4 linked regions of the Anolis sagrei genome follow. The protein of the gene in region 3 interacts with the protein of the main gene of each other region in a pairwise test. Links are inferred from orthologs where the notes say so. Each region holds a gene or a part of one and is shown on either strand. Other genes may lie near its edges. The genes, in order: DEF6, SNRPB2, HOMEZ and PRKAA2.

Evidence for each region.
Region 1: the proteins of HOMEZ (region 3) and DEF6 interact in binary tests that used the Homo sapiens proteins (3 or more experiments, as listed by UniProt). The two-hybrid records come from large-scale screens. The link is inferred for Anolis sagrei from reciprocal best matches to the Homo sapiens genes HOMEZ and DEF6.
Region 2: the proteins of HOMEZ (region 3) and SNRPB2 interact in binary tests that used the Homo sapiens proteins (3 or more experiments, as listed by UniProt). The two-hybrid records come from large-scale screens. The link is inferred for Anolis sagrei from reciprocal best matches to the Homo sapiens genes HOMEZ and SNRPB2.
Region 4: the proteins of HOMEZ (region 3) and PRKAA2 interact in binary tests that used the Homo sapiens proteins (3 or more experiments, as listed by UniProt). The two-hybrid records come from large-scale screens. The link is inferred for Anolis sagrei from reciprocal best matches to the Homo sapiens genes HOMEZ and PRKAA2.

What each region holds. Positions count from the first base shown.
Region 1 is NC_090024.1:189,813,730-189,821,485, reverse strand, and holds the start of DEF6 (differentially expressed in FDCP 6 homolog), read right to left. Parts: upstream 3,017-7,756; 5' UTR 2,942-3,016; coding exon 2,846-2,941; intron 1-2,845.
Region 2 is NC_090021.1:157,445,692-157,452,638, forward strand, and holds the start of SNRPB2 (U2 small nuclear ribonucleoprotein B''), read right to left. Parts: upstream 3,017-6,947; 5' UTR 2,919-3,016; intron 1,038-2,918; 5' UTR 1,026-1,037; coding exon 962-1,025; intron 1-961. UniProt on the Homo sapiens protein: Involved in pre-mRNA splicing as component of the spliceosome. Associated with sn-RNP U2, where it contributes to the binding of stem loop IV of U2 snRNA.
Region 3 is NC_090026.1:9,112,864-9,120,133, reverse strand, and holds the start of HOMEZ (homeobox and leucine zipper protein Homez), read right to left. Parts: upstream 3,019-7,270; 5' UTR 2,849-3,018; intron 2,663-2,848; exon of another isoform or gene 2,479-2,662; intron 1-2,478. Other genes in the region: twisted gastrulation protein homolog 1-B-like, read right to left, coding at 6,702-6,922, 7,010-7,225. UniProt on the Homo sapiens protein: May function as a transcriptional regulator.
Region 4 is NC_090024.1:170,779,683-170,786,988, forward strand, and holds the start of PRKAA2 (5'-AMP-activated protein kinase catalytic subunit alpha-2), read right to left. Parts: upstream 3,015-7,306; 5' UTR 2,887-3,014; coding exon 2,781-2,886; intron 1-2,780. UniProt on the Homo sapiens protein: Catalytic subunit of AMP-activated protein kinase (AMPK), an energy sensor protein kinase that plays a key role in regulating cellular energy metabolism.

The sequences.
Region 1 (7,756 bases), on a different chromosome or scaffold from region 3:
CTCTGGAAGTAGGTGAACTACAACTCTCAAACTCAAGATCAATGCCAATGACCACCAAACCCTTCCAGTATTTTTTCTTGGTCATGGGAGTTCTGTGTGCCAAATTTGGTCCAGTTCCGTCATTGGTAGAGTTCAGAATGCTGTTTTATTGTAGGTGAACTATAAATTCCCAGCAACTACAACTCCCAGATAACAAAATCAATCCCCCCAACCCCCACCAGTATTCAAATTTGGATGTATCGGGTATTTGTGCCAAATTTGGTCCAGTGAATAAAAATAAATCCTGCATATCAGATATTTACATTACGATTCATAACAGTAGCAAAATGACAGTTATGAAGTAGCAACGAAAATAATTTTATGGTTGGAGGTCACCATAACATGAGGAACTGTATTAAGGGGTCGCGGTATTAGGAAGGTTGAGAAACACTGCTCTAGAGTGATATTACTCCAAACCTGGGACATTATAATTCAATTGGGGAGGAAAAGGAAATCTATCACAACTCTTAATACAGGACAAAAAGGAAAAATAACAGAAGTAATTAAACAGTATATTTATATCAGGAAAAGCACGCTTAATACACTGGGGTGTAAGAAGGTCCTTCCAAGAAGATCTTCCAAAACCCAAGAACTATGTCAATGTGGGAGTTCTCCGAAGAGTTGGCTGTGCCAAACAGCTGCCCAATTTCTGCATTCATTCCACACTGGAAATGAGCACAGGATATGGATGACGGCCCAGAGAAACCAAAGAGACATCTTGCATCCTCTGAGTCAATCTACACTAGGCATGGGCAAACTTGGGCCCTCTGGGTGTTTGGACTCCAAGTCTCAGCATTCCTAACAGCCGCTTAAGCGGCTGAGGGGGGAAAGGAAGGGGCCTGAGGCTGTTAGGAATGTTGGGACTTGGAGTCCAAAACACTCAGAGGGCCCAAGTTTGCCCATGCATGATCTACACTATCCAATTAATGCAGTTTGATGCCTCTTTAACTGCGATGGAATCCTGGGATTTGTACTTTGGTGAGGCCCCACCATACTTTGGATCTTGCAAAAATACAGCTCTAATGATTCCATAGCATTGACTCACAGGCCATTAAAGTGGTGCCAAACTGTATTAACTCATCAGTGTGGATGTATTTGTGGTGTCGAACTGTATTGATTCGTCAGTGTGGGTGCACTCTCCATGAGACACTGAAGGAAGACAGCCTCTGACATTATCTCTTGCGTGTATCAGCTTGTGTTGATTGATTTCCCCGAGGTGTCGCTCACTATTTACATCAGGCACGAACCAGTGTTTTCTGCCCTACTTTCCTAGCACACCCTGGCATCTTATCTCCCTCCCCAAGTTCTGCAATTAAGCACTAAACTCCCATTCATGCCACTACTTGTATTAGTATTTAGTATGAAAAAGCGGGAGCTGGGAAAGCTTTCTTTCCTCCTCCTTTCACAAAAGAAAACATGGAAAATAGTCACATTAAGGATCTCATCACACTGGAACATGTGGTTCTCCACCTGTGGGTCTCCAGATGTTTTGGCCTTCAACTCTAACAGCTGGTGGCAGGGCCGTAGCCAGAAAAAAACTTCGGGGAGGGTTGACAATTTCGGGGGGGGGGTTGAAAATTTTGGGGAGGGTTGAAAATTTGGGGGGGGGGGGTTGAAACTTGCCTCCTAGCTCACGCTGAAGCAAAGAGCACAGCAGGGGAAAGAGCAGCCTTCAATAGCCTGCAACTCCACCCCTGTCAACCACCTCCACCAAGTCTGGCCTCCTTAATGAGAGCATTCAACACACACACACCCAACTTGGTTGCTTCACTACATCGGCTATTGCTGCAAGTAATGACAGTGTGAATAAATTGTCAATATTTGTTTGAGATAGTGCTTACAGTTCTGGAGGGACTCTTAATTTTTTGCATCTCATAGACTTAGCATGGAGATTTGGTTAACCAGTTAAAATTCATGAGTAAACTAGGTTTTTTAAAAAAATCTGAAACATTTCGGGTGGGGTTTGAACCCCTAAAACCACCCCCTCGCTACAGGCCTGGCTGGTGGTGCCGTGGGTTAAATTGCTGAGCTTGTTGACCGAAAGGTAGTAGGTTTGAATCCGGGGAGCGGTGTGAGCTTCCACTGTCAGCCTCAGCTTCTGCCAACCTGGCAGTTAAAAAACATGCAAATGTGAGTAGATCAATAGGTACTGCTCCAGCAGGAAGGTAACAGCGCTCCATGCAGTCATGCCAACCGCATGACCTTGGAGATGTCTATGGACAACGCCAGCTCTTCAGCTTAGAAATGGAGATGAGCACCACACCCCAGAGTCAGACAGGACTGGAGTTAATGTCAGGGGAAAACCTTTACCTTTAGGCTAAAAACACCTGGGAACCCACAGGTTGAGAACCACTGCACTAGAGAATGAATCCACTTTAAATCCGGTTTCTGCCTCCTGCAGAATTCTGGGGTTTGTAACTTACCGTGGCTGTTAAAGGCCCCTCCCTAAACTGCAAACCCCAGAATTCTGCAGGAGGCAGAAACCGGATTTAAAGTGGATTCATTCTGTAGTGTGATGAGGTCCTAATAAGACACTGCTCACTTTCAAAGGCTGGGGATGTGGAAAGGATCAGGGAGAGGTTGAGAAGCAGTTGAGCATCTCTTGTCTGGAATGAATGCAGTTTGGCACCACTTTTAACTGCCATGGCTGAATGCTATTCAACCCTAGAGTTTTTCAGCTTGATCTCTTTGGCAGAGAAGGCTAAAGACCTTGCAAAACTACACCTCCAATGATTCCAGAGCATTGAGTTGAAAGTAGGGGTCCAACTGCATCCCAGCTGCAGGTGTGTCCCCTCTCCAAACTTACTTTGAGCTGCGACTTTGAGACTTTGCCGCTCTTCTCGGTGTCCAAGGCGGTGAAGGCGTACCAGATGGACTTCAGGAGCTCGGCTCGCAGCTCCATGATGCCGGGAAAGAGAGAGAAACAGTCGCTGACAACCCCGTCACCGCCGCTCAAGCTCCGCAGCCAGGCGCCTCCTCCTCCGCCCTTCCCTCCTTCGCTCGCAGGAAGCGCGCCGCAGCCCTCCGCGGGAAACCGCTTGTGCCACAGCGCCATCTGCTGGTCGCAAACGCAACAGCACCTTCCCCTGCTGACCTAGCAATGCTTCTGGGTACATCTATACCAAGCAGGGGCAAACTTGGGCCTTCCAGGTGTTTTGGACTTCAACTCCCAGCATTCCTTCCATTTCTCCTTAGCTACGTAAGCTTGGCTAGTCCACGTAAGTCCAAAACACCTGGAGGGCCCAAGTTTGCCTCTGCCATCAACTCCACATTGTCCGGATGCCCAACCACTGTCTCCCAAAGCAGTTGCTCAACTCCGAACTCAAGAACGGAAAATAGAATGTTGGAGGGCAGGAAAAGAGATTTAAAGACAGGCTCAAAGCCAACCTTAACTCTGGCATAGATACTGAGAACTGGGAAGCCCTGGCCCTTGAGGTCAGCTGTGACCAGTAATGCTGTAGAATTTGAAGAGGCACGAATAGAGGGCGAAAGAGAGAAACATGCCAAGAGGAAGGCGCATCAAGCCAACCCCAACCAGGACCGCCTTACACCTGGAAACTAATGCCCTCACTGTGGGAGAAGATGCAGATCAAGAATAAGGCTCCACAGTCACCTACGGACCCACCACACACTGCACACAGACCCTGGAGCAGTGGTTCTCAACCTGTGGGTTCCCAGATGTTTTGGCCTTCAACTCCCATAAATCCTAACAGCTGGTAAACTGGCTGGGATTCTGGGAGTTGTAGGCCAAACACCTGGGGACCCACAGGTTGAGAACCACTGCCCTGAAGGATCATCCTACTCGCACAATGAGGGATCACCTAAGAAATTAAGTAAGCCCATGCCTCATCTACACTACTTATCTACACTGCCCAAAGGATATGGATGACGGCCCAGAGAAACCAAAGAAACATCTTGCATCCTCTGAGTCCATCTACACCAGGCATGGGCCAACTTGGGCCCTCCAGGTGTTTTGGACTTCAACTCCCACACTTGCCTGCCAGCAATAAGTTCTTTACACTAGTAAAAGCTTTCTGCTTTATACACCAGTGGAATCAATAAATAATAACAGAAACAGAAATGAGGAAATCATGAAAATGAACAAAATCTGGCATTTACAGTGTAGATGCTACCAGTATTAAAAAAAAAACTCTCAAAGCAGGACAGTAAATAAAGCAGGGGAAATCAAGACAATAATCAATCACGGCCAGCGAACACCTCCCAACAAAGGATTCCCTCAGGCAGGAAGCAGCCAGGCTTTGAAGCTGCAAGGCCATTAAATGCTAATCAAGATGGCCATTTGCAACACTCACATTTATCTCAAGCAGACAAGATTTCTATCTTCCACCCTGGATATTCCACAAATAGATAAACCTCACTTGCCTAATTTCCAACAGACCTCACAACCTCTGAGGATGCCTGCCATAGACGTGGGCAAAATGTCAGGAGAGAATGCTTCTGGAACATGGCAGTACAGCCCAGAAAACTCACAGCAACCCAATAACAGGAACGTTGTGTAGTGTAAGCATCCTGGAAATGTCTCCAACAGCAATTTGTGCATGGACAGAATATGTTGTATGTAGATCGAGGTGTCTCTAGAAAGGTTATAGAAGCATTAAGAATTTCTAGGAATTTGGAAAGTAAGTGTACCTTTAATACATAAATTGATATGAACCTTCAATTCCATCAAATATAACTCAGAGGGGGGAGCCCACTCAACTGTGTAACCTGAAGGCGTTTTTGTTTTGTTTTTACTTTTCTGAAATGTTTACATTAGAGGCTGTCCTCAACTTCATATGGCTTTGGGTTTAAATACATATTGCAAATATTTCCCTCCCCCCAAAATGTGACGTTCCAGCCTGCAAATCCAAGCTGTCTAGGTTACAGGTGTTTTCTTAACCAACTCTAGCACTTTGCCTCTAACAATAAAACAGCATTTCTAAATTAAATATGTAGCTTTATCCAGTAATTTGTCTCCTTAACAATATTTTTCCAGCCCTTTGTCCCAAGCTGCATTGCTGCTTTAAAGGGGAACTGGTTTATGAGGATATTGATCTGGCAAAATAAACATGTTTTGTCTCTTGAAAAGACTCAGGATCAGGGCCATCTTTTTTTTCTCCCCTTTCAAATCATAGCAATCTATTTTTGGCCACAGGACAGGAAATCTTTAGCCACTTCCCTTCCCCTCCAGGGAAAGAAAGAGAAAGAACTGCAGGAGGTGTGAAGTGTAAGAGAATTAGATTTCAGACTCATTGCTCTGCTTATGAAGAGTTTGATCTACACTGTAGAATTAATGTAGTTTGGCACCACTTCAATTGCCATGGCTCAGTGACATGGTAGTTTTGCAATGTCTTAAGCCTTCCCTGAGAAATAGTCTGGTGCATCACAAAAAGTACAATTCTCATTGTTCCATACATCGAGCTATATCATATCTACGTTTATAGTGTAGATCAGGCACTGGCAAACTTGGCCCCTCCGGGTGTTTTGGACTCCGTCCCAGCATTCCTAACAGCCTCAGGCCCTTTCCTTTTTCCCCCTCAGCCGCTTAAGTGGCTGAGGGGGAAAAGGAAAGGGCCTGAGGCTGTTAGGAATGCTGGGAGTTGAAGTCCAAAACACCTGGAGGGCCCAAGTTTGCCAGTGCCTGGTGTAAATGCACCTTCTGAAAATCAGCAAAATGTTTGACTAGGGATATGAAGGGGAGGTCAGAAAGTACAAATAGGTTCAATAGATAACTTGAACCAATCTTTACTAAAGAATAAAACCTCGTTCTGAAATGTCATTTGTCAAAAGGATCTATCATAGACACACAATATTTTCTCTAAAATCAAGTTTTCACATATTTTGGGTTTATAGACTTTCTAAGATTGTTTCCCGGGGGTGAGGTGTTCAGACCAAAAGTGAGACTGGGACGCTGTATTTTACAAGTGACTACCAGAAATGCTTAAAAAGGCAGAATGTCATGGGGTGGATAGGTTTTATTTTGTTCTGAAGCAACTACGTTACACATGAGAAAACTCAATAAACACAACTGTAAGAATGCATGGTAACAATGTTAAATAATATATATACACAAAAAGGGTGGTCTATAGATAAAGATATGTGAGTCATAAATATTTTTGGCCCTTTTCCGGCAACTGTGTTCAGAGACCTGTGCAAAACTAGAAGTTTCAAAGTGAAAATATAAGAGTATAAAACAATATACCGTGGGTTGTTGTGAGCTTTCCAGGCTGTATGGCCATGTTCTAGAAGCATTCTCTCCTGATGTTTCACCTGTATCTATGTGCATCCTCAGAGGTTGTGAAGTCTGTTGGAAACTAGGAAAATTGAGTTTATATATCTGTGGAATATCCAGGGTAGGAGAAAGAATCTTGTCTGTTGGAGGTAGGTGTAAATGTTTCAATTGGCCACAGACAATTCTGATTTGAAATTAGCAATTATGTTTTCTACTGGGATTCTGGTGGTGATAACAGCAAAATTGCCTCCTTTTGCTAGTATGGATACTTGGTCTTCAGAGAGTTGTGGCTTCTGGAACATAATCATACAGCCCGAAAGCTCAGAATAACCCAGTGATTCCAGCCATGAAAGCCTTCAACAATACATCGATATACCATGGGTTGCACTGAAAACTAATGTGCAAAATAAACTCTGAAGTATTACTTTCAGATTGATCAGCAAGCTGTTTCAGAAGTGTTCTCCCTAGTTGAGCTGAGCTCTTTCTCAAAACATAAGATATGCTCTTAGATGGCAGAAGTCAACATAGTCTATATAAATAGTGGGCTAAAGGCAGATCAGTGTCTATCAAGAGCTCTACTGGCAGAAATAACCATAAAAATACATTTTCCACCTGGTGAAATGGAAAAAAAGAAAGCTTGGGTTGGACTTTTGTCAACCCAACTATCAGTTGAGTTCAATTCTGGAATGAAAAGCAAATTGATAAGTTCAAGATATTCTCATATTCACCCTACACAGTATTTTCTGTAGGTTATGGGGGTTCTGTGTCAGAATTTTGGCCTAATTCTATCGTTGGTGGGGTTCAGAATGCTCTTTGATTGTAGGTGAACTATAAATCCCAGCAACTCCAACTCACAAATGTCAAGGTCTATTTCCCCAAACCCCACCAATGTTCACATCTGGGCATATTGAGTATTTGTGCCAAGTTTGGTCGAGATCCATCATTGTCTGAGTCCAAAGTGCTCTCTGGATGTAAGTGAACTACAACTCCCAAACTCAAGGTCAATGCCCATCAAACCCAGTATTTTCTGTCAGTTGTGGGAATTCTGTGTGTCCAGTTTTATTCAATTCTATCATTAGTGGAGTTAAGGATGCTCTTTGATAGTAGGTGAACTATAAATCCCAGCAACTACAACTCCCAAATGACAAAAATCAATCCTCCTCCCAACCCCACCAGTATTCAAATGTGGGCGTATTGGATATTTCTGCCAAATTTGGTCCAGTGAATGAAAATACATCCTGTACATCAGATATTTACATTACGATTCATAACAGTAGCAAAATGACAGTTATGAAATAGCAATGAAAATAATTTTATGGTTGGGGATCACCACAACATGGGGAACTGTATTAAGGGGTTGTGGCATTAGGAAGATTGGGAAACACTGGCCTACCGAATCATAAGGGTTTTTGTTATAACAAAAAAAAAACTGCCAGGAAACCAGAAGCTCTGTCTATACAAGTTCTCTATGAACTGCAAGGCATA
Region 2 (6,947 bases), on a different chromosome or scaffold from region 3:
TCCAGAGTTGGGGGGCCACCACCGAGAAGGTCCTCTCCCTCGTCCCCACCAATTGCGCCTGTGAAGGAGGTGGGAGAGCGAGCAGGGCCTCTCCAGATTATCAAAGAGATCGTGTGGGTTCGTACACAGAAATGCGGTCAGTTACTGTATTGCAGGTTTTGTGTACTCATACTGCAAATAAGGTAATGGAAGGCTGTTGCAGTACACTATCCTACACCATTATTAGGACACTGGGCTATAAAACTAGTGTCAAAAAGCTTTCTCTTCTCTCCACTTTCATTTTCTTTAGCACCTTTTAGATTGCAAACTGAAGGACTATGCTGTAGCCATATAAAATTCACTACACATAGATGACTCTGTCCTAAACAGTGGGCTAAAAGTGCTTCAAGTACAACATTAAATGCATGCTTCTACCACATTGTTATTGTAATTTTCCAAGAAAATATACAAACACTGCTTACAATAATAATTAAATTAACTTGTGTCACATAGACTGCTTTCCATTTTCACCAAAATGTAAAACTAGTATGACCTTGATATCTACTGGAGAAATGATACCTGACACTGTGGGCAATAGTAAACCCTATATTTTGATTGCACGTTTGCTGGATTTACACTGGAGGACCTAGAAAGGCCTACAAATAAATTTGGAGTATGGGTAATTGAAACTATAGATATCAAATTTGTGGATAATACTGTATAAATAGTTTTCAGTGCAGTCTTAAATATATGTCTTCACAAGAAAATCCTGCTGTGTCCAGGTAAAAGTGGAAAGAACTGCAGCCAAAAGGACAACAGCTAATTGTCAATATATTAAACAATTCACTCCAATAACAACCAAAACAGTTAAAGACAAAGCCTACTAGAGAGTGAAAATTATAAGCTGGAACACACACACACACATATCTTGACCCTAGGCACCAGAACATGGTAGAATAAAAGATCTGAGCTATTTTCTTACCTTCTTTTTTAATTTTGTCATTAACATTATTGATGTAAAGCGTGTGATTTGGTCGAATATCCATCTTCTAACTTCCCTAGGAAACAAGATAGCTTATTTAGCCTTTTCTCCAAGGAACTCACTTTTTTGTTTTGCATTTTTCAGGCAATTCTAATCAACCCAAGCTGATCCTACTTATGGTGTTTTTCTTGTCAAGATTTGTGTAAGTTTGCGGCAGCTTTCCTATTGGTTCTCACTTCCAAAGACAACTGTGAGCCCCACCAATGACGGAACTGGAGCAAACTTGGCACACTGAAATCCCATGACCCACTTAAGTTCTGGTGGGGTTTCTTGGGGGAAGAACTCTGGATGATGGGAGTTGCAGTACTGTCCCGCACATCATGAGATTACTGCAAACCTCTTTAGCCATAGATCTGGACCAAACCTGGCACACAGACACCCCATGACCCACTTTGAGTCCTGGTGGGGGTTTTTTTTTGGGGGGGGGGGGAGGTAGGAACCTGGATGATGAGAGTCGCAGTACCTTCACCCGCATCCAGAGACAACTGTGAACCCATCAACCATGAATCTGGACCAAAGTTGGAACAGATACCCCATGGCCCACTTTAGGTCCTAGTGGGGTTTGGGGGGGGGGGGGGTAGGAACCTGGATGATGTGGGATTTGCAGTACTTTGACCCACATCCAGAGACGACTGTGAACTCCATTAACCATGGATCAGGACCAAATTTAGCACATAGATGTCCCATGACCCACTTTAAATCCTGATGGGGTTTGGGGGTATAGGAACCTGGATTATGGGAGATGCAGTACCTTCACCCACTACTGCCAACCCCATCCAGAGGACAGGAGCAGGATTCAAAACGATCTTGACAGATTGGAGAGATGGGCCAAAACTAACAAAATGAAGTTCAACAGGGACAAATACATGATACTCCACTTTGGCAGGAAAAACGAAATGCAAAGATACAAAATGGGGGACAATGCCTGGCTCGAGAGCAGTACGTGTGAAAAAGATCTTGGAATCCTCGTGGACAACAAGTTAAACATGAGCCAACAATGTGATGTGGCGGCAAAAAAAAGCCAATGGGATTTTGGCCTGCATCAATAGGAGCATAGTGTCTAGATCTAGGGAAGTCATGCTCCCCCTCTATTCCACTTTGGTTAGACCACACCTGGAATATCGTGTCCAATTCTGGGCACCACAATTCAAGAGACATATTGACAAGCTGGAATGTGTCCAGAGGAGGGCGACTAAAATGATCAAGGGTCTGGAGAACAAGCCCTATGAGGAGCGGCTTAAGGAGCTGGGCATGTTTAGCCTGAAGAAGAGAAGGCTGAGAGGAGACATGATAGCCATGTATAAATATGTGAGAGGAAGCCACAGGGAGGAGGGAGCAACTTGTTTTCCGCTGCCCTGGAGACTAGGACACGAAACAATGGCTTCAAACTACAAGAGAGGGGATTCCATCTGAACATGAGGAAGAACTTCCTGACTGTGGGAGCCGTTCAGCAGTGGAACTCTCTGCCCGGGAGTGTGGTGGAGGCTCCTTCTTTGGAAGCTTTTAAGCAGAGGCTGGATGGCCATCTGTCAGGGGTGATTTGAATGCAATATTCCTGCTTCTTGGCAGGGGGTTGGACTGCATGGCCCATGAGGTCTCTTCCAACTCTTTGATTCTATCTGCAAGAATTTCTAACGGGTGCATTCACAAAATCCAAAAACAAGCCATGCCTTTTTTGAAAGCTAGTAGACCAGGCACGGGCAAACTTCGGCCCTCCTGATGTTTTGGACTTCAACTCCCACAATTCCTAACAGCCGGTTAGGAACTGTGGGAGTTGGGAGTTCAAAACACCTGGAAGGGCAAAGGTAGTCTATGTTGACCCAAAAAAAACCCATCTTTTGACAAAACAAATCCGAAGGATCACAATGGCAAGGCTGAACCATCCAGGACCGCCTACCTGAGCGGAGAGAAGGGACTGCGGGCTGGAGAACGAAGAGGGAAGCACGAGAGAGACGACTTCACGAGCACCGCCTTTCCGCTTCCGGGCGCAGAAGCTACTTCCGGCTCTCCATGAAGGGGCGGGGCTTTCTCACTTTAGAGCTGCCAGCATCATCGTGGCCTCATAGGGTGAGGGGAACCTTGTAGAGTCATAGTAACCTTTATAAAGAGACAGGGAGTAGGGAAAGGAAACGTTTAGTGTTGTTCTAGGAGAGCAAGGGGAGAAGGAGGAGAGAAAAACCTGGCCCTCTTGTCTTCACCTGCCTCAGGAGTATAGAGGCCTATCAAACTTATCACTAGGTTCATACAACCACTGGGCAAGAACTCTCATTCCCCCCAAAACTGGTTGGCCACATGGAATGCTGCAAAGGATCATAGAATCCTAGAGTTGGAAGAGACCTCATGGGCCATCTAGTCCAACCCCTGCCAAGAAGCAGGAATATTGCATTCAAAGCACCCCTGACAGATGGCCATTCAGCCTCTCTTTAAAAGCTTCCAAAGAAGGAGCCTCCACCACACTCCGGGGCAGAGAGTTCCACTGCTGAACGGCTCTCACAGTCAGGAAGTTCTTCCTCGTGTTCAGATGGAATCTCCTCTCTTGTAGTTCGAAGCCATTGTTCCGCGTCCTGGTCTCCAAGGAAGCAGAAAACAAGCTTGCTCCCTCCTCCCTGTGGCTTCCTCTCACATATGTATACATGGCTATCATATCTTCTCTCAGCCTTCTCTTCTTCAGGCTAAACATGCCCAGCTCCTTAAGCCGCTCCTCATTGGGCTTGTTCTCCAGACCCTTGGTTATCTTAGTCGCCCTCCTCTGGACACATTCCAACTTGTCAATATCTCTCTTGAATTGTGGTGCCCAGAACTGGACACAATATTCCAGGTGTGGTCTAACCAAAGCGGAATAGAGGGGTAGTGTTACTTCCCTAGATCTAGACACTATGCTCCTATTGATGCAGGACAAAATCCCATTGGTCTTTTTTTGCCGCCACATCACATTGTTGGCTCATGTTTAACTTGTTGTCCATGAGGACTCCAAGATCTTTTTTACACACGTACTGCTCTCGAGCCAGGCATTGTCCCCCATTCTGTATCTTTGCATTTCGTTTTTCCTGCCAAAGTGGAGTATATTGCATTTGTCACTGTTGAACTTCATTTTGTTAGTTTTAGCCCATCTCTCTAATCTGTCAAGATCGTTTTGAATTCTGCTCCTGTCCTCTGGAGTATTGGCTATCCCTCCCAATTTGGTGTCATCTGCAAACTTGATGATCATGCCTTCTAGCCCTTCATCTAAGTCATTAATAAAGATGTTGAACAGGACCGGGCCCAGGACCGAACCCTGCGGCACTCCGCTCGTCACTTCTTTCCAGGATGAAGAGGAAGCATTGGTGAGCACCCTCTGGGTTTGTCCATTTAACCAATTACTGAAAGAAGACATGAGCCAGGATAAAACAACCCAAAATCAGGTTTCTTTTATGTATAATGTCTGCTTGCTAAAGAGGTATGATAACATAATAATAATAATAATAATAATAATAATACTTTATTTATACCCCGCCACCATCTCCCCAAGGGACTCGGAGCTGCTTACATGAGGCCAGGCCCAACAACCCATCAATAAGAACAAGAAGCAATAAACAAAAACAATAAATACAATACAATTAATATAAATCACATATAAACAATAACCAATAAACAGTAACACAACAAGGATTAAAAAACCTATGGCTGGGCCAATGTAATAGTTTAAAAATTAAAAAATAAACGCTGGGCACGAACAAGGTAGGATATATCTGGTATAGGGTTTTAAAAGAGAGATGAGGGAGCGCAGTCAATCCTAAACCAATTGTAAAGTGCATTCTGAGGGCATATTGCTGAGAATTTTCCTTATTCTGGGAAGGCATACTGGAACAGCCACATTTTCAGGCTCCTCCTAAAGACTGCCAGAGTTGGGACATGCCTGATGTCCTTGGGAAGTGAGTTCCAGAGTTAGGGGGCTGATGCGGAGCATCTCCCCCCCCCCCAAGTATTTGTAGTTCGCCAAGGGCCAGACAATGGATTCTGTTGCTTCCTGACCCAGCACACATAACTGGGTTCCTGTTTCCTCTCTGTGAATTCTCTGGCTTGTGCACTGGACCCTGGCCCCTGATCAGGGAAATGTAGTTTTCTAAAGGACATTGCCCCACTCTCCACCATTTGTGAATTCCTTGCGGACCTCTTTGCCCTCACTGATTGACTTGATGCCCTATCGTCATGAACTTCCTCCACGGACTCTGAACCAGGCCTCTTGGAGAGAATAGTCTCCGCCTGTGCGTGCGCCCTTGCCAAGAAGATCATACTTCAAACAGAGATGAATTGCTTTTATCAATTGTTATTACCTCTAATAAACTTTGCTGGGTTGGGATGGGGATCTCTTTATGAAATTTATGAAACTTATGAAGATTTATGAAGAATGTATATGATATGTATAATATGAAATCTATGAGATGTACCCTTGCCCTTTTCCCTACTTTTCTCCTCTGAACTTTACCCTACTAAGAAAGGATGTGACCTGAGGCTACAGCGGAGGAAATCCAATTTCCTCAAAATAACCCCATTCATATTGACATTTTGCATGGATCAGGGTTGACAATTATCTCAAGGTTTGTTTTCAGAGTCAGACAAACAAGCCAGAGATGGGTCAACCGAAACCCGGAAAACGGACTGATTAAATCAATCATGGTATTTGTGTAAGCTCCTTTGTGATTAAGGGTCCCCTTGTCTACAGAGTTTTGAGATCCAAATGCCACCAATAGCCCCTTTTCATGTCTATACACATCTGCAATCAGAAATCAGGAAATCCTTTGTTTCTCCCGTCTGCCACCCTGCCGTGTAAGAACAAAGGCTCTCAATCAGCTGGCGGACGCCTCCCAGGCGTTCCGCCCCCTCTGAGCTGTCAAACCACGTCCCGCCTCCTGGCCGCTGATTGGACCATCTTCGGAGGCGCTCTAAGGGCTCTGATTGGCCCCCTAGAGGCGACAGCGCCCGGCGATTGGAGGGGAGGCGGGACAAGCGGCCAAGCCTCCTCCCAGCTGTTCCAGAGCCAGCCAATCAGGGCGGAGAGAGCTGACAGAAGGCGGGCGGGAGTTTCAAACCAGGTTTTCTTTGTTTTACTTGTATAAATATGCCTGGAAATCACTGTACTGTATGCTTATGGTGGAATTATCCCTGTAACGCATCCTTTTCAGCTGAATCGCAGAAATAAACGCTTCGGTCGCTGGATACCTCTTCAGCCTCTGGTGGGATTAATTCTTAATATTTTGCGCTTTGGATTGGCTTTTGCTGGCAGCTCACCAAGGTCAGAGACCCCCTTTGCGGTCTTCTGGGGCCTTCCTCGCTGGGAAAGCCCCCCAAAAAGAGCTCGATATCAGGGCCACCACTGAGAAGGCCCTCGTCCCCATCAATCGCGCCTGCGAAGGAGGCAGGAGCGCGAGCAGGGCCTCTCCTGATGATCGAAGAGATTGTGTGGGTTCGTACACAGAAATGCGGTCATGCAGGTAAGCGGGTCCCAAACCGTTCAGGTAAGAACCTGTACCTTGTATTGGGACCAGAAAATGAACGGCAGCCAATGGAGCTCCTTAAACAGGCGGGTTGACCGCTCCCTGTAAGTGACACCAGTTAGTAACCAGGCTGCCGCCCATTGTACCAATTGAAATTTCCGGGCCATTTTCAAGGGCAGCCCCACATATTGTGCACATCTGAGTGTGGACTCGGATAACCCAGTTCAAAGCAGATATTGGTGGGATTTTCTGCCTAGATATTCTGGGATATAGGACTGTGTGGAAGGGCCCTTCTACACAACCATATAAAATCCAGATTATCTGCTTTGAACTTCAATGCCCTTCCACCCAGCCCTATATCCCAGAATATCAAGCCAGGAAATCCCACATCTGAATGTGGACTCGGATAACCCAGTTCAAAGCAGATAATGTGGGATATTCTGCCTTGATAT
Region 3 (7,270 bases):
CATAAATGCGAGGGTTGAATGAAAAGTAATGCCTCCACCTTCTTTACTTGGGTTTGGATGGGAATATTTTAGGAAACCAAACGCAGAAATAATCCTTAGAATGTGCTCTTTAACTACCACTATTCACTTTTCCACATAATTGCCAGATAATTGGATACAAACAGGGATGTGTTATTGCCCCAACCTTATTTTCCATCTTCATCGCTATGACACTTCATCTAGTTGATGGGAAGCTTCCCACCAGAGTGGAAATGATCTGCGGACAGAAGGCAAGCTATTTAACCTCAGCAGACTCAAAGACAAAACCAAGGTTACAACATCTATTATAGAACTCCAATATGCTGATGACAACGTCATCTGTGCGCATTCAGAAGAAGACCTACAAGCCACTCTAAACACCTTCGCAGAAGCATATGAGAAGCTCAGCCTATCATTAAACATCGAGAAAACCAAATGCTCTTCGAGCAGTCACCAGCCAATCCCTCTTCAATGCCAGAAGTACAGCTTAATAGTTTAACATTAGAAAATGTTGACCATTTCTGCTACTTTGGCAACCACCTCTCCATAAAAGTCAACATTGACACTGAAATACAACACTGCCCTGAGCTCTGCAAGTGCAGCATTTTTCTGAATGAAGCAGTGTTTGAGGACCGGGACATCCATAGGGATACCAAGGTGCTTGTTTATAAAGCTATTGTCCTCCCCACCCTGCTATACTCCTGCGAGACGTGGACTCTCTGCAGATGTCACATGCAACTGCTGGAACGATTCCATCAGCGCTGCCTCAGGAAAATCCTGCAAATCTCTTGGGAAGACAGGCGGACAAATGTCAGTGTGCTGGAAGAAGCAAAGACCACCAGCCTTGAAGCGATGCTCCTCCGCCATCTACTTTGCTGGACCAGCCACGTTGTCCGAATGCCTGATCACAGACTCCCAAAGCAGTTACTCTACTCCTATGGCAGTCACACTGTACTTGCAAACGCTTGCTCCAAAAGCCAAGTTATGACTTTCCTCCAGAATGTTAAAATGGAGGGAGCTGATCTAATATCCCTAGGGAGGGCGTTCCATAGACAAGGGGCCAACACTGAGAAGGTCCTGTCTCTCATCCCCGCCAGTCGTGCTTGTGATGAGGGTGGGATCGAGAGCAGGGGCTCCCCAGACGATCTTAAAGCCCTGGAAGGTTCATAAAGGGAGATGCATTTGGACAGATAAGTTGGGCCAGAACTCTCTGAGTGATATGATGATCATCCTAAATCAATCTGTCAACCTTTTGCTTGTGAAACTCGGTGGTTGCTGTCAGAGGACGTCCAGCTTTTGTTTGTTGCACAAATCAGATTGTTCCCACCTCAACATCTTTAAACTTACTTGCCCAACGACACACAGTACTCACATCAACACAATCAACATAAACAGCTTGCATTCTCTGATGAATCTCCTTTGGGGTGACACCTTGTGCTGTGAAGAATTCACTGCCTCTGAGGATGGCTGGCATAGAGGTTCCAGAAGCATTCTCTCCTGAAGTTTCTCCCCCATCTATGGCAGGCATCCTCTGAGGTTGTGAGGTGTCTTGTCTTCTTCAAACAAAGAAGAGTTCTTTCTCCCACCCTGGACATTCCACAGATATATAAACTCCATTTTCCTACTTTCCAACAGACCTCACTACCTCTGAGGATGCTTGCCATAGATGTTCCAGAAGTATTCTCTCCTGAAGTTTCTCCCCCATCTATGGCAGGCATCCTCAGAAATTGTGAGGTCTGTTGGAAGCTAGGCAAGTGGGGTTTATATATCTGTGGAATGTCCAGGGTGGGAGAAAGAACTCTTGTCTGTTTGAAAAAGGCAAGGGATCTCACAACCTCTGAGGATGCCTGCCATAGATGCAGATGAAATGTCAGGAGAAAATGCTTCTGGAACATGACCATACTGCCCGGGAAACTCACCACAACCCAGAGATTCCGGCCACAAACGCCTCTGACAATACAAAATCCCACACTTCCTCCCATGCCATCCAACCTGCCTGCTGTCCCCCATGCTTCCAAGGAATTGCCCCAATTTCTCAGATCCTCCCTTTTAGCAAAAGATGAAAAGGAACAGGAAAACACATTAAGGATCACCATCAGAGCATCCTTTTCTTCCTGTTATATTGTCACAGGGCCCTTCCTCAAGCCCTATATCTCAGGGCCCTTCCACAAAGTCATATAACCCAGAATATCAAGGCAGGAAATCCCACAATATCTGCTTTGAACTGGGTTATTTGAGTCCACACTGCCATATATTTCAGTTCAAAGCATAAAATGTGGGATTTCATTCAGCTGGGTGGAAGGGCCCCCAGAGTCCGCACTCAGATAATGTGGGATTTCCTGCCTTGATATTCTGGGGGGCCTTCCACCCAGCTGAATAGGGCTGTGTGGAAGGACCCCCAGCAAAGACAGGACAGGTTTGGGAAGAGGAAGCAAATGGCTATTCTTTGGAGCCACTTACCTTCTCTTCCCCCAACTCGGAAAGAAAGATGGGAAAGAAGAGCATGCTGTCACTATGGAGAGATCAAAAGGCAAAGAAAGAAGAGAGCGGAGGGAAGAAGAAAGGATGTGGGGAGCAAGGCAGGAGAGGAAAGAAAAGTGGGAACTTGGAATGACAGAAGGAGACAATGACAGAAAGAGAAGAAGCAGACAAAAGGAAGGAAGGAAAGAAGGAAGGAAGGGCAGACAAAAGGAACAGGGAGGAAAAGAGGAGAGAATGGCAGCAAAAAGGGGGAGAGGGAGGCCAGAAAGGAAGGAGAGGCGAAGGGGGCTTCAAGGGCCTCATGAGGGGGAGAGGCCGGGGCCATGGAGGGGAAAGGGGGCTCACCCACCCGGGAGGGACCGGCGAGCATCACAGAGGACGGGCAGGGCGGCAGAGCCATCCAGGGGCCTGGCAGGGGCTGCAAGAGGCGGGGCGGTGGTCCACTCCGCTCTTGAAAGGCAGGAAGAAAGGCAAAATCCAGCTGCTTAGGTGAACCAACTATGTTTTGGAATAACAAAGCAACACAACAAAGGGGAGCCCGAGCTCAAACCACACCCCTTTACCTTCAACCCCAACCTCCCCACCCCCTCCTTGCCATGCAGAGGGCTGGCTTGCCAGACTTCACTCTGCACGTGCTCAGAGGCATGCTTTCCCTTCATTGTTGCTTCAACCGTTCTGGAACATTTAGGGCGGAAAGCTGCTCCTGACCAGGTGAAAGGCAACTGGGATTTTGTCTTTGATACCTCAGTTAATAAAGCCTGTTCAGGTCTTCTTGGCCTTCTACTTCTCTTTCTCATCCTCAGTGGTTCTCAATTTGGGGTCCCCAGATGTTTTTGGCCTACACCGGGATTGTGGCGCAGCTGGCTGAGTGTCAACTGCATTAAGATCACTTTGACCAAAAAGTCATGAGTTCGAAGCCAGCCCGGGTTGGAGTGGGTTTCCAACCAATTGTGTAGCCTGTTGTCGACTTTTGCAACCCGAAAGACAGTTGCGTCTGTCAAGTAGCAAAATTAGGTACCACCTTGTGTGGGGAGGCTAAATTAACTAATTTATGAGGCCATAAAAAAAGACTCCAGCAAAGCATTCCAGTGGGGAAGCATGCGGGGAATGCGGAAGTGCTTCATCAGCGTCGCAGATGGACGATGAAAGTGACAGCTCCCCTGGTGTCCAGAAAAAGTTAAATAGCCTCTGTCTATGTCTGTATATGTTTGTATGTCAAAAATTGGCATTGAATGTTTGCCATATATGTGTACACTGTAATCCGCCCTGAGTCCCCTGCGGGGTGAGAAGGGCAGAATATAAAAGCTGTAAAAAATAAATAAATAAATACAACTCATAGAAGTCCCATCCAGTTTACCAGCTGTTAGGATTTCTGGGAGTTGAAGGCCAAAAACATCTGGGGACCCCGGGTTGAGAACCACTGGCAGGTTTAGCCGCAGCTCCTTGGTAAGGCTGGAGAAACAGAGTTTAGCAAGGCTGGGAAAAGGGACTTGTAATTGTGTTGTCTTCGTGCTTCCAAAGCAGCATGCGTTTGAATGGGGAAACAACCCTACACTGGTTTGCTGTGAGTTTTCCAGGCTGTGTGGTCATGTTCCAGAAGCATTTTCTCCTGACTAGGCAAGTAGGGTTTATGTATTTGTGTAATGTCCAATGTGCTGTCGCATGCTGGGCCTGTGCATAAGACTGTAGACAGGACATAAATTCTGTGTGCCCAATGGGACTCCAGGGCTGCCTCAGATTAAAGGCCCTTGGATTTCCTTAAAACAGAGTCTTTAGATTGTTTAAAGGTTCAACAATGTTCTTTATTGATGAAAACAAACAGGTACTTTAAGGCTTTCTTAACAGTCTATTGGCTCTCTCTCAATCTTGTCCACAGGGAACAGGCACTATCTTCATAACTGTAACTAATGGGGAAATCCTTAACTTCTAACCTGGGCAGTCTGTCTTTGCCTCTATTGGCATGGAGCCCCTGCACCTGGTACCAACTGTTTCTGGCTTCCGCGAGTGACCCTTACCAAGCAGAGCTTTGTAGACTTCCAAGGGAAAAGGAGTTCAGGTTTCGGTGATGGCTGGCTGAAGTCCTTCATCTAAGTCATAAGTAAAGATGTTGAACAGGACTGGGCCCAGGACGGAACCCTGCGGCACTCCACTTGTCACTTCTTTCCAGGATGAAGAGGAAGCATTGGTGAGCACCCTCTTCAGAAAGACTTCACCCCACAGCCTGAGGAATAGAGCTCCCAAAATCTATTTCTCACCAGTTCAGCCCTCCTGCTACATATGGTGGCCTATCAAGGTTTCAAACATGCATTCTACTTGCTTACCTGAGATTAAAGATACAGCTGTTATCCAACACCTTAGGAAGCCCACATTCTGTGGTTAACCAGGTGCCAGAAGCTAGTCTCAGAAACCTTTGCCTATTGTATATTTTCAGGTAGACATGTAGTACTTCAAGAATACTATTTTCTCTCATCAATCCTTCCCCTCCAGCAGCTTTCGAAATCAGGTCCTTGAGATATTTTTGATTTTAGCGAATATGAGCAGTGCTCAGAAATATTAGGACTTGAAGTTCCAAACATCTGAAGGATAGCAGTTTGAGAACCAATACTTTAGGTTCTTGTGGGTTTTTTCGGGCTATAGGGCCATATTCTAGAGGCATTTCTCCTGACGTTTCGCCTGCATCTATGGCAAGCATCCTCAAAGGTAGTGAAGTCTGTTGGAAATAGGACAATGGGTTTATATATCTGTGGAATGGCTGGGGTGGGGCAAAGAGCTCTTCTCTGCTAGAGGTAGGTGTGAATGTTTCAGCTGACCATCTTCATTAGCATTTGAAGGCCTGCCTGAGCCTGGGAAAACCTTTTGTTGAGAGGTGTTAAGATGTGCCTGGTTGTTTCCTCTCTGCTGTTTTGCTGTTGTGATTTTAGAGTTTTTTAATACTGGTAGCCAGATTTTGTTCATTTTCATGGTCTCTTCCTTTCTGTTGAAATTGTCCACATGCTTGTGGATTTCAATGGCTTCTCTGTGTAGTCTGACATGGTGGTTGTTGGTGTGGTCCAGCATTTCTGTATTCTCAAATAATATGCTGTGTCCAGGCTGGTTCATCAGGTGCTCTGCTATGGCTGACTTCTCTGGTTGAAGTAGTCTGCAGTGCCTTTCATGTTCCTTGATTCGTGTTTGGGCAATGCTGCGTTTGGTGGTCCCTATGTAAACTTGTCCACAGCTGCATGGTACACGGTAGACTCCTGCAGAGGTGAGAGGATCCCTCTTGTACTTTGCTGAACGTAGCATTTGTTGGATTTTCTTGGTGTGTCTGTAAATAGTTTGTATGTTGTGTTTCCTCATCAGCTTCCCTATGCGGTCAGTGGTTCCCTTGATATATGGCAAGAACACTTTTCCTCTGGGTGGATCTTCATCTTTATTCTCGTGGCTTGTTCTTGGTCTTGCAGCTCTTCTGATGTCTGAAGTGGAGTCTCCATTGGCCTGGAGAGCCCAGTTTAGGTGGTTCAGTTCATCTTGGAGGAGGTGGGGTTCGCAGATTCTTTTTGCACGGTCTGCCAAGGCTTTAATGGTGCTTCTTTTTTGACTTGGGTGATGGTTGGAGTTTTTATGTAGGTATCTATCTGTATGTGTGGGTTTTCTGTAGACAGTGTGACCCAATTGTTGATCTGGTTTGCGGATGACTAGGACATCTAGAAAAGGCAGTCTTCCTTCATTTTCTTTTTCCATACTGAATTGGATGTTTGGGTGGATGCTGTTAAGATGGTCCAGGAACCTGTTGAGTTCTTCTTCTCCATGGCTCCAAATTTGGTACGATGAATGAAAATACATCCTGCCTATCAGATGTAACGGCGCTCCATGCAGTCATGCCGGCCACATGACCTTGGAGGTGTCTACGAACAACGCTGGCTCTTCGGCCTAGAAATGGAGATGAGCACCACCCCCCAGAGTTGGACACGACTGGACTTAATGTCAGGGGAAAACCTTTACCTTTATTAGATGTTTACATGATGATTCATAACAGCAGCAAAATTATAGTTATGAAGTAGCATCAAAAATAATGTTATGAAAAATGTATTGGACTGGTCTTGCTCACAACGCTCAGAATAGGAAGAAAGGGAAGGTGGGAGAGAGAGGTAGGCAGGTAAATAAGTTGGTTGAGGGCCCCACACATGTGTACATGTACATGTAAAGAGAAAAGCTGAGAGTTAATCCCGGCAGTTGGAACAAATGGCTTGGGCCCCGCCATAGCCCCGGCAGTCAGGCCCTACACACTGGCAGCAGGCATTGTGGAACCAGCGGTAGCGCCAGGCTCCCACTGATTGGCAAGCTGTCCGGCATCGGCTCATGGACAGGCACTCGTTGAAGAAAATGGACTGGCAAGGTGGTGTGGTGGCATTGAGGCCTTCAGCATCTGGGAGAACCAAGCCTGCAAGTGAGAAGAGGAAAGTTCATGGCTGTGTATCCTTCATTATTGCGACATCAATGCTTTCTCCTCTGGGCCAGGTACACTTACCTGTGTGTGGCCCCAGCAAGAGATGGTCTGTCTCTACGTGGTTCTGCCTCAGCTCCTCCTCAACTGGCAAAGTCAAGATGCTCCAGCCCATGGGAGACTCGTTGTCAGAGATGGCTGTGAGTGCCCGGAAAAGAGAGGGCACGGGAGACATCAGGTTGTGCATAGAGCTTCGCTGGGCCGGACGAGGGGCGGAGAGAGGACGTTCATCGCAGAGCCCTCGGGAGGAAAAAGTCAAGTCAGAATCCTTCCTTGGTAAGCTCT
Region 4 (7,306 bases), on a different chromosome or scaffold from region 3:
CAGGAGCTGGGCTAACAGCAAGAGCTCATGCCGCTTCAAGGATTCGAATCTGTGACCTTTCGATCAGCAAGTTCGGCAGCTCAGTGGTTTAAACCACCATGCTACTGGGGGCTCCAATATGTGGTAATCCTATATGTAGAAAGCAGTAGACGAATGCTTGCATTTTGGATTGTTTTTGTTGTTGTTATTATTATTATTATTCACCCAACTTTCCCTCAAGGCAAGGGACAATACACTTAAAATATATAGATAACAAGATCATTAAAACATTTATAAAATAGACTCTCAACTAACTAGCAAAAGAAATCAAAGAAATTACATAGAATTCACAAAACTGTTTTTACAATACAATAAAACTGTGATAAATTAAGCTTCTCTTTATCTTTCCTAAATGACTTTCCATTGCTGTATTTCAATATTAATATTGTCAATACAGAGTTTATGATATGATATGGTACAGAATAGCGTAGAATATGAGGCCTATTTTTACTAGTAACTCTCAAGCAACCAGAAACCACATTTATTTGACATTTATACTGTTTTTTATTGATGGCATTGAATTGTTGCGAACACTGTGAACTACTCTAAGTGCTCTTCGGGGTTGAGAAGGGTGGTATACAAATACTGCAAATAAATAAATAAATACATCTACCAATCCCTGTGGGTGCCAGTTAACTGAGATTCTAGGAGCTCCCAGTGGCACAATGGGTAAAACTCTTGTGTTGGCAAAACTGCTGACTGAAAAGTCGGCGGTTCAAATCTGAGGAGCAGGGTGAGCTTCCATCTGTCAGCTCCAGCTTCTCATGCTGGGACATGAGAGAAGGCTGCCACAGGATAGTAAAACATCCAAGTGTCCCCTTGGAAATGTCCTTGCAGATGACCAATTCGCTCACACCAGAAGCAACTTGCAGTTTCTCAAGTTGCTCCTGACACAAAAAAACCTCTCAAAGTCTACAGTATTATGTATATACTTGTTGGCATTGCATATTTGCCTTTTATGTTGTCAGACGCTCTGAGTCCCATGTTGGGAGGTGGGCGGGATATCAAGTTTTATTATTATTATATTACATAGCAGAGGTGAGATTAAAAACACGTTAAGATCATTTGTACCAAGTGTTTGCCTTTGACAATGAGGCAGGTCCACCAACGACTCCACCTTTGCTTTGAGAAATACCCCCAGACCTTCAACCCCAGTGCTCTTGCAGTTTTGGACTCTCAGTTCCCAGAAGCCTCCGCTGTCAGGGCCAATGAGCAGGGATTCTGGTAGCTGGAGTTCAAAACACCTGGGAGACCAGCGTTTGGGAGACAAGGTTCCAGACCAGAGCAGGATTTCTCCCTCTCCCTCTACATATATACTCTGTGTGTGTACAGAGAGAGTGTATATAGTGTGTGTGTATATGTATGTGTATATATACACACATATACATCTCTCTGTGTGTGTACCAGTAATGAGTAAACTTTGCCCCTCCAGGTGTTTTGGACTCCAACTCCCACAATTCCTAACAGCTTACCAGTATGCATTCATACTGTGTGTATGTATATACCAGGCATGCACAAACTTGCGTCCTCCAGGTGTTTTGGACTTCAATTCCCACAATTTCTAATGTATTTGTACGTGTATGTGTGTGTATACACATACACTTACATGTGTGCATGCATACTGCATGTATGCCGGCTGTTAGGAAAACACCTGGAGGGCCAAAGTTTGACCATTCCTGGTATATATACACACACACATGAATGCATGCATACTGTGTGTGTGTGTGTGTGTGTGTGTGTGTATATATATATATATATATATATATATATACCAGGCCTGGGAAAAATTGGGCCCTCCAGGTATTTTGGACCTCATCTCCCACAATTCCTAATGCATCTGTATGTGTATCTATGTGTATACACACACATACACTTACATGGGTGCATGCATATTGCTCACTTCGGCAGCACATATACTAAAATTGGGATGATACAGAGAAGATTAGCATATTGTGTGTATGCCGGCTGTTAGGAATTCTGGGGGCTGAAGTCCAAAACACCTGGAGGGCTGAAGTTTGCCCATTTCTGGTGTATATATATATATATATATACACACACAAGCATGCATTATTGGCCCTCCTGGTGTTTTGGACTTCAACTCCCACAATTCCTAATCTATGTGTGTGTGTATGCATGCATACTGTGTGTATGCTGGCTGTTAGGAATTGTGGGAGCTGAAGTCCAAAACACCTGGAGGGCCGAAGTTTGCCCATGCCTGGTATGCATGTATATGTGTGTGTGTGTGTGTGTGTGTGTGTGTACATACACACGCACACACAAGCATGCATGCTTGGGCCCTCCTGGTGTTTTGGACTTCACTCCCACAATCCTAATGTGTGTGTGTGTATGCATGCATACTGTGTGTATGTCGGCTGTCAGGAATTGTAGGAGCTGAAGTCCCAAACACCTGGAGGGCGAAGTCTGGGATATAGTCTAAAGATGCTTTTGGATAACGGGGAGAGGTAAACAGGGATGTCCCCAATGAGCTGATATCTTGACCAAGGTTGGGGTGGGTTCCTCCTTGCTGCCATGGGGAGGGGGGAGGGGGGCATTTGGGAGACCCCGAGGGAGGGCTTTAAAAGACTGGCCCCAAAGAAGGGGCGTCCTAGAGGCGCAAGAGCAGCGCTCATGGGGCTCCTGCCTGGATGGGAAGCGCTGGGAGGGCGCTCTCAGGACCGGACCCCTTCCCTTCCTCCCTCCCTCCCTCCTTCTCCGCGGCGCCCCCCTGGGAGATACTCAGCTCTTGACTTTGCCGAAGGTGCCGACGCCCAGCGTGTCCCCCAAAACGTAGTGCCCGATCTTGACGCGCCCGTCGTGCTTCTGCGGCGGCGGAGGCTTCTCTGCCATCTTCGCTGCTCCTGCCGCTTCTGCTGCTGCTGCTGCTGCTCTTGGCAGCTTTGCCTCCGCCGACACCGGCCGGGCCGGACCACAATGCAGCAGGGCCGGCGGCAAAGGCGGCGGGGAGGGATGGGGAGGGCGGCGGGGAAAGGAGGAGGCAGCAGGCGAGGAGAGGCAGCAGCAACAGCCAAGGCAGCAGCAGAGCCCAGAGGTGGGGAAGGGAAGGGGAGGGAGAGAGGTGGGCAGGTACGCAGGAGAAGAGGCGGGAAGGCATTTCTTCTCCCTGGGGATGGCTAAAACATGTCTCTCTCTGTGTGTGTTTTCTCTCATTTATTCATATATTTTTTCTAATTACACTATGCAACACGACTTTTTTTGGTCCTGGTTTATCAATGTCATTTCCTAATTGGTTCAGTCATAAAATATGTGGAAAGTTGTCTTGGCTGGAATCACTGTGTTGTTTTGTCTTGGCTGGAATCACTGGGTTGCTGTGAGTTTTGGGGCTATATGGCCATGTTCCAGAAGCATTCTCTCCTGACGTTTCACTCACATCTATGGCAGGCATCCTCAGAGGTTGTGAGGTCTGTTGGAAACGAGGCAAGTGGGGTTTATATATCAGTAGAATAATCTCTAGGGTGGGAGAAAGAGCTTTTCATAGAATCAAAGAATCAAAGAGTTGGAAGAGACCTCATGGGCCATCCACAGTCCAACCCCCTGCCAAGAAGCAGGAATATTGCATTCAAATCACCCCTGACAGATGGCCATCCAGCCTCTGTTTAAAAGCTTCCAAAGAAGGAGCCTCCACCACACTCCAGGGCAGAAAGTTCCAATGCTGAACGGCTCTCACAGTCAGGAAGTTTTCTCTGCTTGAGGCAAGTGTAGATGTTGCCATTGGCCGCCTTAATTAGCATTGAACGGCCTTGCAGCTTCAAAGCATGGCTAGGGGGAATCCTTTGTTTGGAGGTGTTAAAGGTAAAGATGTATTGTCAAAGGCTTTCACAGCTGGAATCACTGGGTTGTTGTAGGTTTTTTTCAGGCTATATGGCCATGTTCTAGAGGCATTCTCTCCTGATGTTCTAGAGAATGCCTCTAGAACATGGCCATATAGCCTGAAAAAACCTACAACAACCCAGTAAAGGTAAAGGCTTCCCCTTGACATTAAGTCTACTTGTGACTGATTCTGGGGGCTAGTGCTCATCTCCATTTCTAAGCCAAAGAGCCGCCATTGTCCATAGACATCTCCTAGGTCGTGTGGCCAGCATGACTGCATGGAGCGCCCTTACCTTCCTGCCAAATCAATTGATCTACTCACATTTGCATGTTTTTGAACTGCTAGGTTGGCAGAAGCTGGGACTAACAACAGGAGCTCACCCTGTCCTGTGGATTCAAACTGCCAACCAGCTTAGCTGTTTAACTCACTGCACCCTAATCAGGACAGTAAATAAAGAACAACACTCAGAAAACAGGGGAATTCCAGATAAGAAACAACCAGGGCCAGCTAACTCATCCCAACAAATTTTCCCCGGGCAGCAACCAGCCAGGCTTTGAAGTTGCAAGGCCATTCAATGCAAATCAAGTTGGGCAGTTGCAACATTCACACTTGCCTCAAGTAGACAAGACTTCTTTCTTCTACCCTGGACATGCCACAGATATATAAACTGCACTTGCCTAGTTTCCAACAGACCTCACAAATTTCTGAGGATGCCTGCCATAGATGTGGGATGAAACATCAGGAGAAAATGCTTCTGGAACATGGCCATACAGCCTGGAAAACTCACAGCAACCCAGTTTATTACATTGCAAAAACTGTGTTTTTTGCAGGACACCCTGCAGCACATTTTGCTAGAGTTTTGCAATGAATGTCTCATCAGGTCTCAACCAATTCAACATAGTTTGTGGAAGCCACAAAAATGAAGATCCTGGACTACAACAACTACTTTCAAAGTAAGTACCACACAATTAAACAGGAAATAACACTTTCAAACCAGGAACAGATTTTTATTTTTCAAATATTGTTACATAGTGTTATTAGAAGCAGTCATAGTTTTTGGATTTTATGAATAGTCTCATTAGGAAATGCATAAGGATGGGGATAGATTACAAATCCCATCGTCATCTGTCATTGCCCCCAAATGGTGCCTGTAGTTAAAGTTGATCATGATGGGTAAGTGTTCCAAGTTTGATTGATTGCATTCATGGTGCTCCCTGGACATGGGTGGACTGCAATTCCCATCATTTCTGTCATTGGCCAACCCCACCAGTACTTAAAGATGGGGATGTGTGCCATGTTTGGTACAGATCCATCATTGGTGGAGTTCAGCATCCTCTTTGACTGAGTGAACAACAACTCCCAGCATCCAAGGTCAACCCCCCACCCCTACCAGTACTTAAAGCTGGTCATGATGCTTATTTATGCTAAGTTTTGTCCAGTCTTAGAATCACAGGTGTACTTTATGTATTTTTGTAGGTGATACTGGAATAAGGATGCATCTTACAATTGATGGTGTCTCACAATTGAAGAAATATGGTATATAGAAAAAAATACAGCTAAAATCAACAGCAACAAAGAAATTTACAATGACTTCCAACATTCCTTATGATTATAAGTGAAATAACTGTATATAAAATCCTACTCTCCAGCAAAGGATCACCGCCTTGTCGGGGCGCTGGAGCTTGAGCACCTCAATGATGTCATGAGCAAAACCGTGAAGGGCCACCCAAGACGGGACGGTTGTGGCAGAGAGGTCAGACCAAGCATGATCCCTGGGGAAGGCAATGGCAAACCACTCCAGTATCCTTGCCAAGAAAACTAAATGGACCAGTACAACCAGAGATATGTCGGTATGCCATTGGAAGATGGGACTCCCAGGTCGGAAGATGGCCAAAATGCTACTGGGGAGGAGCAGAGGATAAGTTCAACTAGCCCCAGATGTGATGACGCAGCTAGCTCAAAGCCGAAAGGAAGGCTAGCTGCCGACGGTACTGGAGGTGAACGACGAATCCGATGCTCTAAAGATCAACACACCATAGGAACCTGGAATGTAAGATCTATGAGCCAGGGCAAATTGGATGTTGTTATTGGTGAGATGTCAAGACTAAAGATAGACATTCTGGGGGTCAGCGAACTGAAATGGACTGGAATGGGCCACTTCACATCAGAGGACCACCAGATCTACTACTGCGGAGAAGAGGAACATAGAAGAAATGGAGTAGCCTTCATAATTAATAAGAAATTCGCTAAAGCAGTGCTTGGATACAACCCAAAAAATGACAGAATGATCTCAATTCGAGTGCAAGGAAAGCCTTTACACATTACAGTGATCCAAATATACGCCCCAACCACAGCTGCTGAAGAAGCAGAAGTAGATCAGTTCTATGAGGATCTGCAGGACCTACTGGATAATACACCAAAAAGAGACATTATTTTCATTACGGGAGACTGGAATGCCAAGGTGGGAAGTCAAGTGACAACTGGGATCACAGGCAAGCATGGTCTGGGAGAACAAAATGAAGCGGGACGCAGGCTGATAGAATTTTGCCAGGAAAACTCGCTGTGTATAACGAATACTCTCTTCCAACAACCTAAAAGACGGCTTTACACATGGACCTCACCAGATGGTCAACACCGAAATCAGATTGACTACATCCTTTGCAGCCAAAGGTGGTGGACATCCATCCAGTCGGTGAAAACAAGACCTGGGGCTGACTGTAGCTCAGATCACGAACTTCTTATTGCACAATTTAGAATAAAACTAAAGAGATCAGGGAAAATACACAGACCAGTTAGATATGATCTCACTAACATTCCTAGCGAATATACAGTGGAAGTGAAGAACAGATTTGAAGGACTAGATTTAGTAAACAGAGTCCCAGAAGAACTATGGACAGAAGTCCGCGACATTGTTCAGGAGACGGCAACAAAGTACGTTCCAAAGAAAAAGAAAACCAAGAAGGCAAAATGGTTGTCTGCTGAGACACTGGAAGTAGCCCAAGAAAGGAGGAAAGCAAAAGGAAACAGGGATAAGAGGAGATATGCCCAGTTAAATGCGCAATTCCAGAGGTTAGCCAGAAGAGATAAGGAACTATTTTTAAATAAGCAATGCATGGAAGTGGAAGAAGACAACAGAATAGGAAGGACAAGAGACCTCTTCCAGAAAATTAGAAACATTGGAGGTAAATTTCAGGCAAAAATTGGTATGATAAGAAACAAAGATGGCAGGGACCTAACAGAAGCTGAAGAGATCAAGAGAAGGTGGCGAGACTATACAGAAGATCTGTATAGGAAGGATAATAATATTGAGGATAGTTTTGACGGTGTGGTGAATGAATTAGAACCAGACATCCTGAGGAGTGAGGTTGAATGGGCCTTAAGAAGCATTGCTAACAACAAGGCAGCAGGAGACGACAGGATCCCAGCTGAACTGTTTAA